2 linked regions of the Stegostoma tigrinum genome follow. The protein of the gene in region 1 interacts with the protein of each later gene in a pairwise test. Links are inferred from orthologs where the notes say so. Each region holds a gene or a part of one and is shown in the gene's direction. Other genes may lie near its edges. The genes, in order: asl and mcmbp.

Region 1 (7,165 bases):
ACTTTGGACCGATGAGCCTGATATTTGTGGTGGGAATGTTGTTGGAGGGGATTCTGAGGGATAGGATTTGCATATTTTTGGACTGATTAGGGGCAGTTCACATGAGTTTGTGCATGGGAAATCATGTCTCACTAACTTGATTGAGTTTCCTGAAGAAGTGGATTGATATTGTTTATATAGACTTCAGCAAGGCATTTGACAAGGTTATGTATGGTAGATTGGTTAGTAACATTAGATCACATGGGGTCCAGAGGGAGTTGGCCAACTGGATACAAAATTGGCTTGAAGGTAGGAGACAGAGGGTGGTGGTAGAGGGTTGCTTTTCAAACTGGAGGCCTGTGACCGGCAGTGTGTCACAAGGACCGGCGCTGGATCCACTGCTTTTTGTCATTTATATAAATGATTTGGATGTGAATATAGGAGAAATGGATTGTAAGTTTGCAGAAGACACCAGAACAGGTGGTGTAGTGGACTGTGAAGCAGATTATCTCAGAGTACAACATGACGTTGATCAGGTGGGCTAATAGGCAGAGGAGTGGCAGATGGATTTGAATCAAGATGAAAGTGAAATAATACATTTTGGTAAGACAAATCATGGCAAGACTTATATAGTTAATACAAGGGGTCTGGGGCGTGGAGCTGAACAAAGAGACCTTGGGGTGCAGGCTCAAAGTTCCTTGAAAGCGGAGTCACAGATGGACAGGATAGTGAAGAAGGCATTTGGCATGGTGGCCTTCATTGGTCAGAATATTGAGTATTGGAGTTGGGACGTCATGGTGTGACTGTACAGTACATTGGTGAGGCCACTTCTATAATGCTGCATATAATTCTGGTCAACCTTCTAGAGGAAGGATGTTGTTAAATTTGGGAGGATGCAGAAAAGATTTACAAGGATATTGTTGGGACTGGAGGGTTTGAGTTGTACGGAGAAATTAAATAGGCGGGAGCTACTTTCCCTGGACTGGCAGAGGCTCAGGGGTGGCCTCATAGAGCTGTATAAAATCATGAGGGGCATGAATAGGGTGAATAGTCAAGGTCATTTTTCTAGGATGGGGGAGTTCAAAACTAGAAGCCATAGGTTTAAAATGACAGGGGTAAGATTTGAAAAGGGCCTCAGGGCAACTTTTTCATGCAAAGGGTAGGGTTGTATGAAACTGGCTGCCAAAGAAAGAGGTAGGGTGGGCACAATTACAACATTTAAAAGGCGTCTGGATGGGTACATGAATAAGGAGGGTTTAGAGAAATATGGGCCAAATGTAGGCAAATGGGACCAGATCAGTTTAGGATTTCTGGTTGGCGTGGATGTGTTAGACCGAAGGGTCTGTTTCTGTCCTGTATGAGCTATGATTCTATGAGTCTTGGAATTTAATCTTTAAATCCAGGAGGGTTGGCAGCTCGACCCAAATGATGCAAAGGAAAACTTTCAACACTATCACTGAAACACATAATGGTTACAGGTCAGGAGGAGACTTTTGGTCTGTCTTGCATCCCTGTCAGCCACTCAGCTAGACCCAATGCCACATGTTTTTCTCTACAGCCCTGCATTTTTTTTCCCTTTTCCCATAGTTATTAAATTTGCTTTGGAAAGCTAGGATTGAATTTGCCTTCACCACACTGAGAGACAATGCATTCCAGGAATAACCACTCACTCCAAAAAACAGCGTTCCTCATATTGCTTTTGTTTCTTTTGTCATCCATCAGGAACTGGTGTCTTTACCTGGTCCTTCTACCAATGGGAACAGATTCTCTCAACCATTTCGCCCAGATCTCTCGTGATTTTGAATTCTTTTAAATCTCCTCTCAACTTGCACTGTTCTAAAGGAAAACAGTTCCATTTTTTTCTGATCTATCCATGTCACTGAAATTCCTCATCTCTGGAGCCGTTTGTGTAGATCTTTGTCTGTATCCTGGCATCATATCCTTCTTTAAGTATCTCACCCAGAGTGCAGTTGCAAAACTTGGAACCACACCAAGAAAGACAGTGTAGATAAAGATAAACTATTTCCATGTTTAGGGATTCAAGAACTACGGGTAATAGTCTGAGAATTAGGGCCAGACCATTCAGGACATATGTTATGAAGTGCCTCCACACATGGTAAATGTCTGGAAGTCTCTTCCACAGCTAGAAGGTGATGCGAGATCAAATGTCAATTTAAAATCTGAGATCAGCAAAGGTATTAAGAAATATGGGCCAAAAGCGGACATATGGAGTTAGGCCATTGTTAAGCCATAATCTGGCCTACTTCTGTTTCTATGTTTGTGTAGTTAAAGGAAAGCTACAAAGTTTCGCTATTGACTTCAAGTCCTCAGAGAAGCTTGCCCAGGATAACTGCACTTAATTAGCAACCAAATCAAACAAAATGCCAACCTCTTTGACAGTGTTTGTACAGCAGAGGCAGAGAGAAAAGCACAAGCAGAGGAACATGCCAAAAGCTCAATTACAGTATCTTCTCCCAGTAACAGAACCTTGCTGCCAGAGTGGTCGTAGCAGTCACCTACAACAATGGTTTTCAACTGGTCTGCTGTGACAAGATGCTGTAAGGTTTTTGGGAAGGACTGCAGCTTTCCATGAGTGACCTGTACTCTGCACCCCCTCCAGTGCTAGTATATATATTCTCAAGTAAGGAGACCAAAACTGCACACAGTACTCCAGATGTGCTCTTACCAGGACCCTATACAGCTGGAACATAGCCTCCCTGTTTTTAAACTCCATCCCTCTAGCAATGGCAGACAACATTCCATTTGCCTTTTTAATTACCTGCTGCACCTGCAATCCTACTTTTAGTGTTTCATGCACAAGGACACCCAAATCCCTCTGCACAGCAATGTGCTGCAATTTTTTACCATTTAAAACATAGTCCGTTTTGCTGCTATTCCTACCAAAATGGATGACCTCACACTTATCAATATTGTACTCCATCTGCCAGACCTTTGCCCACTCACTTAGACTATCTATATCCCTCTGCAGACATTCAGCGACTTCTGCACACTTTGCGCTACCACTCACCTCAGTGTCAGCTGCAAATTTTGACACACCACACTTAGTACCCAAATCCAAATTATCTACGTAAATTGTAAACAATTGCAGTCCCAACACTGATCCCTAAGGCACACCACTAGACACTGACCGCCAACCAGAAAAATACTCATTTACTCCTACCTCTTTGCTTTCTACTGGTCAACCAATCCTCTATCCTTGCCAATACATTACTTGTAATACCATGCAACTTTATCTTATGTAGCAGCCTTTGGTGTGGCACCTTGTCAAATGCCTTCTGGAAGTCCAGATACACCACATCCACAGGTTCCCCACTGTCCACCATGCAAGTAATGTCCTCAAAGAATTCCACCAAATTAGTTAAACATGACCTGCCCTTCATGAATCCATGCTGGGTGTTCCCAATGGGACAATTTATATCCAGATGTCTTACTACTTCTTCCTTAACGATAAATTCAAGCATTTTCCCTACTACCAAAGTTAAGCTAACTGGCCTGTAGTTACCTGCTTTTTGTCTACTTCCGCTTTTAAACAGTGGCGTCACATTGGCTGTTTTCCAATCTGTGGGAACCACCCCAGGGTCCAGTCAATTTTGGGAAATAATTACTAGTGCATTGGCTATTTTGATCAGGATCCCATATGCCTTTAAGCACTTTCCCAGTTACTTCCAACAATTTGTGCCACAAATCCAGCTCCCTCACATCTTGGGTTGCGTATTTTAAGTTGCCCTTCCCAATTCTAACTCTACACAATTTCCACCTGGCTCTCACCTCCACCTGTTCCATCTTGGACTGGTCCCCTTCCTTTCTCAACATCTCTGTTTCCACTTCTGCAGATAGACTGGCCACCTATATCTATTACAAACCCACAATTACTTTCACTGTACATTCTCACACCCTGCTTCCGGCGAAGACTCCGTCCTACTCTCCCAGTATAAATAAATCAAAAATTAATTTAACTGAATTAAGTTTCGAATGCTAAGCTCACAACACGGAGAACTCTATCACCCTGTCAGCTGAGAGAGGTTTATTTTATTTCAGGACTGGGTAAATGTGAGCGGTCTATATACAGTTGGGAATTATTTTAACAGGTTTCGACATGGACTACGAATCCCAGCAGCTTCAGTTAGCGATTTGCATTCCGCTTCCCGGAACTGGGAGTTTCTGGGCTGAAACCGATCAGAATTGCAATGAGAAGTCTCACATTGGGTGTTTCACAGAGCGCTGTAGCGCGTCTGAAGATCGGTGTGCAGAGCTAACTGAGCATTTTGGGGGCTGTGTAAACACTGACACTTGTTTATCCTACAGACGGATCGAACATATAACCTCCAGTTGCTTTTTAAAAGCTTTGACTTAACCTGAGCTGTTCCTACCGTGCTGAGTCCTTGTGTTCGAAATGGCCAGTTCAAAGGTAATGTTTCCCTCAATTTTGTTTTAAATTCAAGAACTAGATCCATTTTTATATGTCAAGGAGACGTTACATAGTATCTCCTGCTTGTTTTTCTTGTTGTCTAGCTAACTTCCTCCTTTAATATATGACTTGGGAAGGTGCAGGAGGGAATATTAACTACTGTTCTCACAAACAAGTGTGGACTGAAGTGATTTGCAGGGCTCTTTCAGAATTGGGCGAAATCCTGTCGATATTTTCCTTGTTGTCCTTGTGTTGCCATATTACTCACGATTGCCGCAATCATTGTTTCCTTTCAGAGCGTAATGAAAGCAGTTGGTTTGAGACACTCTGTTTCCCATATTAACATGGGACAGCGCAGAAAGGTTACAGGGTACAAGTTTGTTTTTCACAAGAGGAGATAGTCACTTGTACTCTTTGGAATCAATGCTCTTTCTTCCCCTACCATTATCTTCTCAATGTTGGCATATTTGGTTTATGTTGTCGTTTGTGGCAGGGGTGTGTGTAGGTTCTTCACTTCCCTGAATGGATTTGTTATACAATTCGAGGTAGTTATCTGCTTACTAATGGAGTATTTTCCTGTGTGTTGCAATAAACGTTATTTTCATCAGTTCCACAAGGAGTTGCGTATGTTGCTGAACTGAACCAAATCAACATCTAAAACATACTTAATTGGGTAGGTGCATTTCCTGCATCAGTTTAAATTGTTACAAAATAGCCTGGTAGGATTTCTTGATCATAAACACCTTCTACCCCTACAATTCTGTTGGACTTGGTTAAATTGCAACAGTGTTGCTCCTTGTGTAAAGCAAACTGATAAGGGGAATGTTTTCTGTTGTTTACGTATTGATTGATTGTTTTTAAACAGTAAAGCTCAGTCGCCTTTATTTGATTGGAATGCCGAAGAAGAGGCAACATAGTTTATTCTTTGTTTAAGAGATAATGGGAACTGCAGATGCTGGAGATTCCAAGATAATAAAATGTGAGGCTGGATGAACACAGCAGGCCAAGCAGCATCTCAGGAGCACAAAAGCTAACGTTTCGGGCCTAGACCCTTCATCAGAGAGGGAGATGGGGAGAGGGAACTGGAATAAATAGGGAGAGAGGGGGAGGCGGACCGAAGATGGAGAGTAAAGAAGATAGGTGGAGAGAGTGTAGGTGGGGAGGTAGGGAGGGGATAGGTCAGTCCAGGGAAGACGGACAGGTCAAGGAGGTGGGATGAGGTTAGTAGGTAGCTGGGGGTGCGGCTTGGGGTGGGAGGAAGGGATGGGTGAGAGGAAGAACCAGTTAGGGAGGCAGAGACAGGTTGGACTGGTTTTGGGATGCAGTGGGTGGGGGGGAAGAGCTGGGCTGGTTGTGTGGTGCAGTGGGGGGAGGGGATGAACTGGGCTGGTTTAGGGATGCAGTAGGGGAAGGGGAGATTTTGAAACTGGTGAAGTCCACATTGATACCATATGGCTGCAGGGTTCCCAGGCGGAATATGAGTTGCTGTTCCTGCAACCTTTGTTTAAAATTGTTTTTGTACCCTTGAAGTTCTATTCCCGGTCCGGTTCATTCTGAGTTCATGCAGTAACGTATGAAACCTTTGCACACATTTTTTTGCTGCCAGCCTGACTCCAGTTTAGCACATTCCTATGGGCTTCAAACCCCAATGCAGTGTCGGAATTAAAAAAATTGCGCCGTGTGGGGAACAGTCACTTACTGGGAATGTTCCCCCACCCCCGTATTGGCTAATTAGGAGCCAGAGGGTCAGCTTGTTGACCAGTTAGGGATGGTGGGCATGAATTCGAAGCCAGAGGGCCAATAGGAGGCTCTTCAGCACAGAAACATCAGCAGCGGGCCTTTAAAGCCTAATGAGGATGACAGTAAACCATTGAAGATTGCCCTTCTCCAACTTTTTGCAAGTTACAATAAAACCCAGAAGCCACTATTGGGGAGTTGGGGTTACCTTTTCCACAGGGTGGCCAATGACTCCAATTGAAACCCAGCCTGCTACACTCAGGCCAATTCCAGCCATCTGCCATGTTCCCCACTGCCTTTGGGAACCTGCACAATCCCTGCTGACCTCTCTCAATAACCCTGAACTCCCTCCCCTTCCCATCTCCAGTAAAATGGCCTGGGGTGAAGCAAGAGAAACAGTTAACTGTTGGTGGTATAACATGTAAACACGCCCTTATCAGGGGCTAAGAAATATATCTCACGCCTTTATAAAAGTGTAGAGCAAGGCTACTCAGAATGCAAAGAAGGTTTAGAAGTTTATCTCTAGAATTAATATTTTGGGACAGTTCAACTGACTCTATTCCTAATATGTTAAGTAATGATGTGTTATTGTTTCAGCAATATAACAGATGATGAGTGAATTTCTTGGTGCGCAAATCAAGTCAAACTTTGTAGCCAATGCCAATGATTTTCATGTCCACTAGGAAACTAAGCTATGGGGTGGAAGATTTGTTGGAAACGTTGATCCAATTATGGAAAAGTTTAATTCCTCCATATCTTACGATAAGCGAATGTGGGCTGAAGATATTAAAGGCAGCAAAGCGTATGTCAAGGCTTTAGAAAAAGCTGGACTGGTAACAAAAACAGAAATGGATCAAATTCTAAACGGGATGGACAAGGTAAGAAACTTGGCAATGAGCTGACCTAACTATCAAAGTAATGAGGTCTTCTGTCCTTATTACAACTTTAATCTCTCCACAGTTGTTATCGTGAAAGTAAAACCACTTAAAATTGAGTTAAACAGAATTTGATTTTTGTGTT
Region 2 (7,298 bases), on another chromosome or scaffold:
ACAAAATTTTAAGGAAATTGGTTGGATGAATGTATGAATCAATCTAGCCCTACTAATTTGAGCAAAACAATCATGGCCACCATTTTTATACATTTACCATAGAATGATTGGGACTGTATTCTCTGGAGTTTAGAATGAGGGGGCATCTCAATGCAACTTATTTCTGACAAAGCAGGCATACTGGGTGCAGAAATGATATTTCCATGGCTGTGGGGATTCCAAAACAACAGGAAGTAGACTATTTCAAACTGAGGACAAATTTCTTTACACATGGTCATCCTGTAGAAATCTCCACCATAGAAGGCTATGAAGGCAGTCACTAAATATTATTTAGGTAAGATAGATAGATTTCCAGGGACTAAAAGGTGTCTAAGCATATGGAGAGACAGCAAGGAGACTATGCTGAAATAGTGGACTTGCCGTGATCATGCTGAATGGTGAAGTGGGCTTGATGGATCAAAAGATTTACTTCTCCCCCATTTTCCATGTCTCTAAGTCTAATTCTACTGTATAATGAGAACTGCAATCAAAAGTAGCTGCAAAATTTGGGACGTGGGGTGTAAGAACAAAGTTTTAAGGACCTCTGAAATGCCTTTACAAACAGAATTCCTAATTATGGGATCATTATGTATGAATTCTTATGGGAACAGTACAACTCAACTCATTAATTCTGCGAGTTTAACAACTCGAACAAAGAAACTCTTTCAAAGTAAAAGCACTTGCAATTCGATGTTACATTGGAAACAAGTTTTATTTTAGTTTAAACAAAGTTTTGTTGGCATTCCCCCTCCTCCCCAAAGTGACTGATTCTAACACTTCAACGGCTTCAAGGCATTTTTGTTAAGACGTAGCTTTAATCCCTCAACCTTGGGAAGAAGCTACTTCTGTAAAGTGAATTCCTTTTTATTGACAGTTCAGAACCAAATTGCTAACATTCCTAAAAAGCAGCACTATGATAAGTATGTCTAAAAGCTAATCAGTTGATTTGAAAAAAGTTAGTTACAAACACCCCTTCAGCAAAACACACATACCAAAACAGATCTTTCTGCTTTTTAAGCAAGTTCATAAAACAAAATTGTCTCTGGCCATTTTTTCAACTGAAAATAAATAAGTTTATAACAGTCAAATGAAAACATACTCTATACATCCATCAGCATTTTCTTTAGATTACATTTGCTTTCAGCTTCTTCTTGCATTTCAGCTACAGATCATTGTCACACAAATCAAAAAACAATAACATTTATTTATAGTGTTGAGGTCAGAAGTTGTTTACGTAACAAAGATGTTGATCCCTGCAACAATTGATGATAAATTCAACAAAATTAACACAAGCGCAACCAACCTAAAAGCAAGCTCACAAAGAATCGCAGTGAAATGAAATTGATGCCTATATTCCAGCAATAGCACAATTGTCGTAAGTTCAAGAGAATGCAAAATATAATTTGAGAAATAACAAACATCTTAGCATGATAATTTTGTGTACTGCAAATTCCAGATGATCAAGTGCTTAACTTTATAAAAAGCAAATCCATCAGCAGCTTCCAGTGACCGGACATGCAGTCAAAAATAAAAACCAGAGGATGCCATTTAGCTGCCCTGCTCTTTCTCAAGCTTCAATTCAACAATATCTTAGTTGGAGACTTGATGGTGAAAGATCTGGAATATTATGAGGTCAACACAGGTAGATACCCACTAAAAACACATGCAAGATTGTGCTTATCCATTCACAGGCAAATTAATGTCAGAAAGAGTCATAACTATTTCTGAACTAACTCATTGGCCTTAATTTTCTTCCTCCAAGTATAGAGTCAAATTTGCCCACCACCACTCGCCCATCATTACTTATTCAGGGTATAAGGAATCTGGTTCAAGCACAGACTGAAGTTTAAAATGGGTCCATATCTGGGGAATTGGATCACTAAGCTCATTACTATGCCAAGAGCAAAATGTGTTATGTAATAAGTGTCTTGTCTTTAGATTCAAACTAACTGCTCCCTATACTTCCATCATTACCACCATTGGCATTGCACAGGTCCAAAATAACAATAAGACATGGCTCATGAATACACATGAATAACATATGAAATATTAGTCAATTCAATGAAGGATTAAAAAATCAAGATACTGGCTGACTGCTCAGATTAAAGATATATAATGATAGTCAAGGATGACCAAAGTTATCTTGATGTTGTGGCCCATATGCATAAGTCAAGTACAGCCAAAGCCCAGATTAACTACACTTCGTCACCTTAACATTCAAGGAACTGTACTGGCAAACAATGGCTGCCGTGCTTGCTTCCAATAGGAACAATTACTATGTTTTAGAAGATATATATAATGCCACATTCTCAGATATTTCAGATCTTTTCTAATTTAAATATTCAAATAAATGCACAACAGAAAAAAAGACAAATAGCAAAAGGAAACATTAAGTTTTAAATTTAAAACTTAATTCTAAGTTCAATGCTGTAATGTTTTACCAGAAGCAAAATTCACTGAAAATTAATATGAAGCCTTCTACTGCTCAAAAACACCAAAATACTATGATAACTGGATCACAAAATACCTATTCAAAACACATACATCGAAAATGTACCTTTACTTGTAAACTTCAATTCCTAACCGAGGAGAAAATGTTAATGCTATGACTTCATGCAAGAGCAAGGCTTCTAAATTTACCAAAAAGGTGATCATCTACAGTTAAATCAATAACTTTCCTAAACACCTTTCCACAATTTGAGCAATTTTGGCATTTCTGTAAAATTCTAAAGTTCTAGGAGTCAATTTTATTGTTTGTGCATCTGTTTGAGGATAGCCTTAATATAAAAACTTGGCCTCAAATTTCAATTGTTCTAATGTGTGTACATCCAGCTCATCTGCACTGTGCACTCACAAAATAAAACACGTTAATAGAAAGTCTTGCATTCATGTGGCACTTCTCACAACCTCAGGAGATTTAAAAATACTTCATAGTCAATTAAACTCATTCAAATTGGGATTGTTGTTGTAATGTAGGAAATAAGAGAGTAAATGTAGAGAATGGAAGGATCTACAAGCAGCTATTTGATAACAATAAAACTGTTTCATTCTTGGTATTAGATGAAGTATAAATATTGGCAGTGAAAACTTATTTGATTTTCTACATGCATCTAAGAGAGTAGGTGGAGTCTCTGCTTATCTTTCCACGGAACAGATAGCACCTACTGTTGGTGTAGGATGCAATCAGTACTGTACTGAAACACCAAACTGCATTTTGTGCTCAAGTCCCCGGAGAAGAACTTAGATGTTCAATCTAAGATTCAGGAGGTGAATCTTCTACTACTAAGCTACAATTGCCAGTACAGCAACTCTGACATCTGGCATCATACAAAAACAGCTGCAGAATGTTAATGCCCAACAAAATAAAATCATGCCATACATATTGTACAGGTCGCCACAAAGTAGCTTGGGCTACAAGCAGGCTAAACAAACCACAAGTGAGTCTAAGCCCGATTACATACATCGTATTTTTAATTGCTGACTTTTTGATAGACCTGCTATTAGGATCGGACCACTCAATTTTCTTTCAGTACACGTCAGGCTCAAATCAAAGACTGCTCAGTGACACAACCTCCTTCCGCGCCCCGTGTAAGGTGATAAAGGGATCCAAACCCTGTGGACGGCTGAACTGAATACTTCTCGATGAGACTTCAAATCACAGACACCAACACCCTCGCAACCAAGCAACATGAAATTCAAGGATCCAGATGTCGACCCTGGAGTGACTCCTCCTCCTCCTCCCCCATCCCGAGCCGGGGAGTCTGTCTGCCATCCTCTCAACACAACCGCGGGCCTCATTCATTCACCCACCCGCTGAGAGAAGGCTGCTGTCCGCCGCCTGCGCCTGACTGACAGGGATGAAAGGCACCGGGAAACTGAACTCGGTGTCGGAGGAGAAAAGCAAGTTAGTGCCGCTTTTCCTGTCGGCCATCTTTACTCCGGCACCGACACGTAACCAGCTGCTCCGCGGAGCGGGATGAGGGGCGGGGCGGGTGGGGGTCAGAGGTGAAACCGGCCCGGTACGTCATGGCGCAGCGGGTCAGGGGTCAGCGGCTGCGTCAATGACGCGATTTTCCCGCCATCGCCGTTGGTCACTTCCCTCCCCCCCCAACCCCCGCCCTGCCCCCCCCTTTCCCCCTGTCCCGCAGCAACTTCTCAACATGCCGTGTGTTGACGACTGGGTCAACGACCCTCTAGGCGCCGTGCAAAGTATTTTTGGTGAGTTTGCTTTCTTTCTCCTTTGTTGCCTAATCGCTTTTATTTTTGTTTTTGTATTTGCAAGTTCTTCCATTCCTGGTCCGCGATTTCTGTGCTTGTGCAGGCCTCCCATCCCAGCTCCTTCTCAGCAGCTCCTTAACCTTCCACCAACACCCCCCCCCCCCCCCACCACATCACACACAACCCTCTTTTTCTTACACGGAGCTTTAAACTTCAATTCGGAGACAAAATTGAACTTTACAGCTTAAGTATTTATATCAATCCCAGATCAAAAGGCAAGGCTTCGGCAAATAGTTCTTTTCTGTAAGCTGATTGCTTGTGAGACCATTTAAACTGTGAGCTACTTTTAAAACCATTGGCTTTATAATATGCTTTGTACTGTTAGAGAACAAGCCTTTAAGATCCAAGACCAAGCTGATTTCCATGTGGGTGGAGACAGTTATGGAAATCTGGCAGTATTCCAAAGTAGTTCGGTGTATTTTCTTTAAATTGCAAGTTATCGAACTATCAGAAGACTTAGCCTTGTTTCATGCTGTAGCTCATTTCTTTTGTGCACGTTTAGGGGACTTCCTTCAGTAGGTGGATTCATGTTGATTTACGCAAATGATAGAATATATTCCAAACAACTAATTTGATGCTTGTCAATAACATAATCAACCAATTTCCAAACTCCTGGAAAGATCGTTATCATGAATATAGTCTGGCATATTTGACTTTTGGCAAGTCCAGTGCTTCCTGACTGATATACATCTGTTTTTGTGACTGTTAGATCTCACATTGTAGTTTGTACTAAAGTGAGTCTGTTGAGTGGCCTTAATAAAATAAATCTATGTTGAATATATTTCTGAACTTTTAATTGTTTGAATAGTTAAATGATTATTTTGGAACATTGAAGAAATATTTAATCATGGGAGTATCAGCAATGTTATGTGTAATGATCCACAAATTGTGCATATATTATTTGCAGAACAGATAGAGTGGACAGTGAGAGTTTTTTTCCGAGGATGATGACGTCAGCTTGTACAAGGGGGCATAGCTAAAAATTGAGGGGTGATAGATTTAAGACAGATGTCAGAGGCAGGTTCTTTACTCAGAGAGTGGTAAGGGCGTGGAATGCCCTGCCTGCCAATGTAGTTAATTCAGCCACATTAGGGGCATTTAAACAGTCCTTGGATAAGCAGATGGATGATGACGGGATAGTGTAGGGGGATGGGCTTAGATTAGTTCACAGCTCAGTGCAACATCGAGGGCCAAAGGGCCTGTTTGCGCTGTATTGTTCTATGTTCTAACTGGTCAGCTTAAGGAGGCAGGCTTTTCCACAGATGCCAGCAGTCAATGCCAGAGGCTAGAATTTGATTACCATGGCTATTTGACAGTTGTGGGGCTGGACATTAAACTGATAGGAATAGGAAAGGTCACAGAGAGATTTGAAAATGAGGATGTTTGTTGTTTAACAGAAAGCCATTGTGAATCAGTGATCAGAGCTGATACAAGTGATAATACTAAAGAAGTTGTAAGAGGACCAGTTTGTCCTGAGGTCTGTAACTTTCTTATGTATAAAGTACCTTGTTTGATATTCAGTACTGAATGAATAGATGTTAGGGACACCAAACTATGATCTTTGGTTTTCACCCACTCTGTTCCTCACCTGATAACCATCTGAGGATTAAAAACAAAGTTGCTAGAAAAGCTCAGCGGGTCTGGCAGGATCTGTGAAGATAAAAAACAGTTAAAGTTTCGGGTCTGGTGACCGTTCCTTACTGGACCCGAAACATTAACTCTGTTTTTCCTTCACAGATGCTGTTTGATCTGCTGAGCTTTTCCAGCAACTTTGTTTTTCCTGATTTACAGCATCTGTAATTTTTTTTTTTTTCGGTTTTTATTTATCATCTGAGGATTACCCAGTATGTACTTTGTATGTATTTGTATTGTAATAGTTTTATTTTTGCCTCTGTGACATTGTCTGATTGATCTGTCTCAGAGCATTGTTGCTGAAACCCTCATCCATGCCTTTAGTATGTCCAGCCTTGACAATTCCAACCTAATTCTGGTCAGTCCTATACGTTTTAGTTTCCACAAAGTTGAGGCCATTCAAATACCTTTATCCATTCCATTTCTTGCACCAGATCCTGTTTATTCAACAGATATCCATGCTAGTTGAATTCCAGTCTCTTTCTTATTTATGATTATTAGTTGCTGTGCTTTAGGCATCTGTACAAAAACCTGCCTGCCCAAGTTTTTGGTCACCTGCTTTAATATTGGCTTGTGTAGCTTAGTGTCACGTTCTTGGTCACACTGTTCTGGAAAATATCTGAATGCTTCAGTGTGTTCAAGGTTCTCTGCTGCTTTTGTTGCATCTCACCTGGACTGTCAGGACCAAGTGATTGGGAAACAGCTGTGTATGTGGGACAGATCATTCAATAGAAGTGACAATGTTATCTCCATCAATACAATTGTTTGGTCCAGTGCACCCTTGCAGAGTCTGGAGAGTAGTTATGAGGAGCTATATTCAAGGGTGTATTGGGGAATGAGAATCCTGCCTTCCTGAAACTTTGAGTTGTGGAAATTTAGCTAATATATATTAAGAGCTTTTGAACATCAGCATGGGAGCCAGTCCGTGGTGACTACTTACACTACAGTGTAATTGTTTCAAAGGTCTTGGGGATTGATAAGGCATTTGAGCATTGACGGTTTGAATTGTGCTGTTTGCAACATTCTAGTCTTCTGTGAACCTTAGATGAGTTTCAAATCACTACAATTGTTCCATCGAAAAGATCCCACATTCTTTACCATCACCTGTCTCCACCTCTCCTTCAATTTATATGCTGTTGAAACTCTGTCAGCCATGTCTTGACATCATTCATGGTCGTCCCTCCCTGGTATAAGATCACCAAAATCTTTGCTGTGCAACTATTCCACAGTTGGTCAGTGTTCCTGTTTTGCTGTTCAGTCCTATATTATTTTCCATTCAACATTTTCATCTTTTTGTTTTAATATCTTTGTGGTTTAGCGAGTTTTGAGAAGATTTGTAGCTCAGATTG

What was found.
Region 2: the proteins of asl (region 1) and mcmbp interact in binary tests that used the Homo sapiens proteins (3 or more experiments, as listed by UniProt). The two-hybrid records come from large-scale screens. The link is inferred for Stegostoma tigrinum from reciprocal best matches to the Homo sapiens genes ASL and MCMBP.

Annotation. Positions count from the first base shown.
Region 1 is NC_081380.1:21,804,113-21,811,277, reverse strand, and holds the start of asl (argininosuccinate lyase), read left to right. Parts: upstream 1-4,152; 5' UTR 4,153-4,393; coding exon 4,394-4,408; intron 4,409-6,828; coding exon 6,829-7,023; intron 7,024-7,165.
Region 2 is NC_081373.1:26,239,821-26,247,118, reverse strand, and holds the start of mcmbp (mini-chromosome maintenance complex-binding protein), read left to right. Parts: upstream 1-4,157; 5' UTR 4,158-4,199; coding exon 4,200-4,257; intron 4,258-7,298. Other genes in the region: sec23ip (SEC23-interacting protein), read right to left, coding at 3,850-3,970. UniProt on the Homo sapiens protein: Associated component of the MCM complex that acts as a regulator of DNA replication.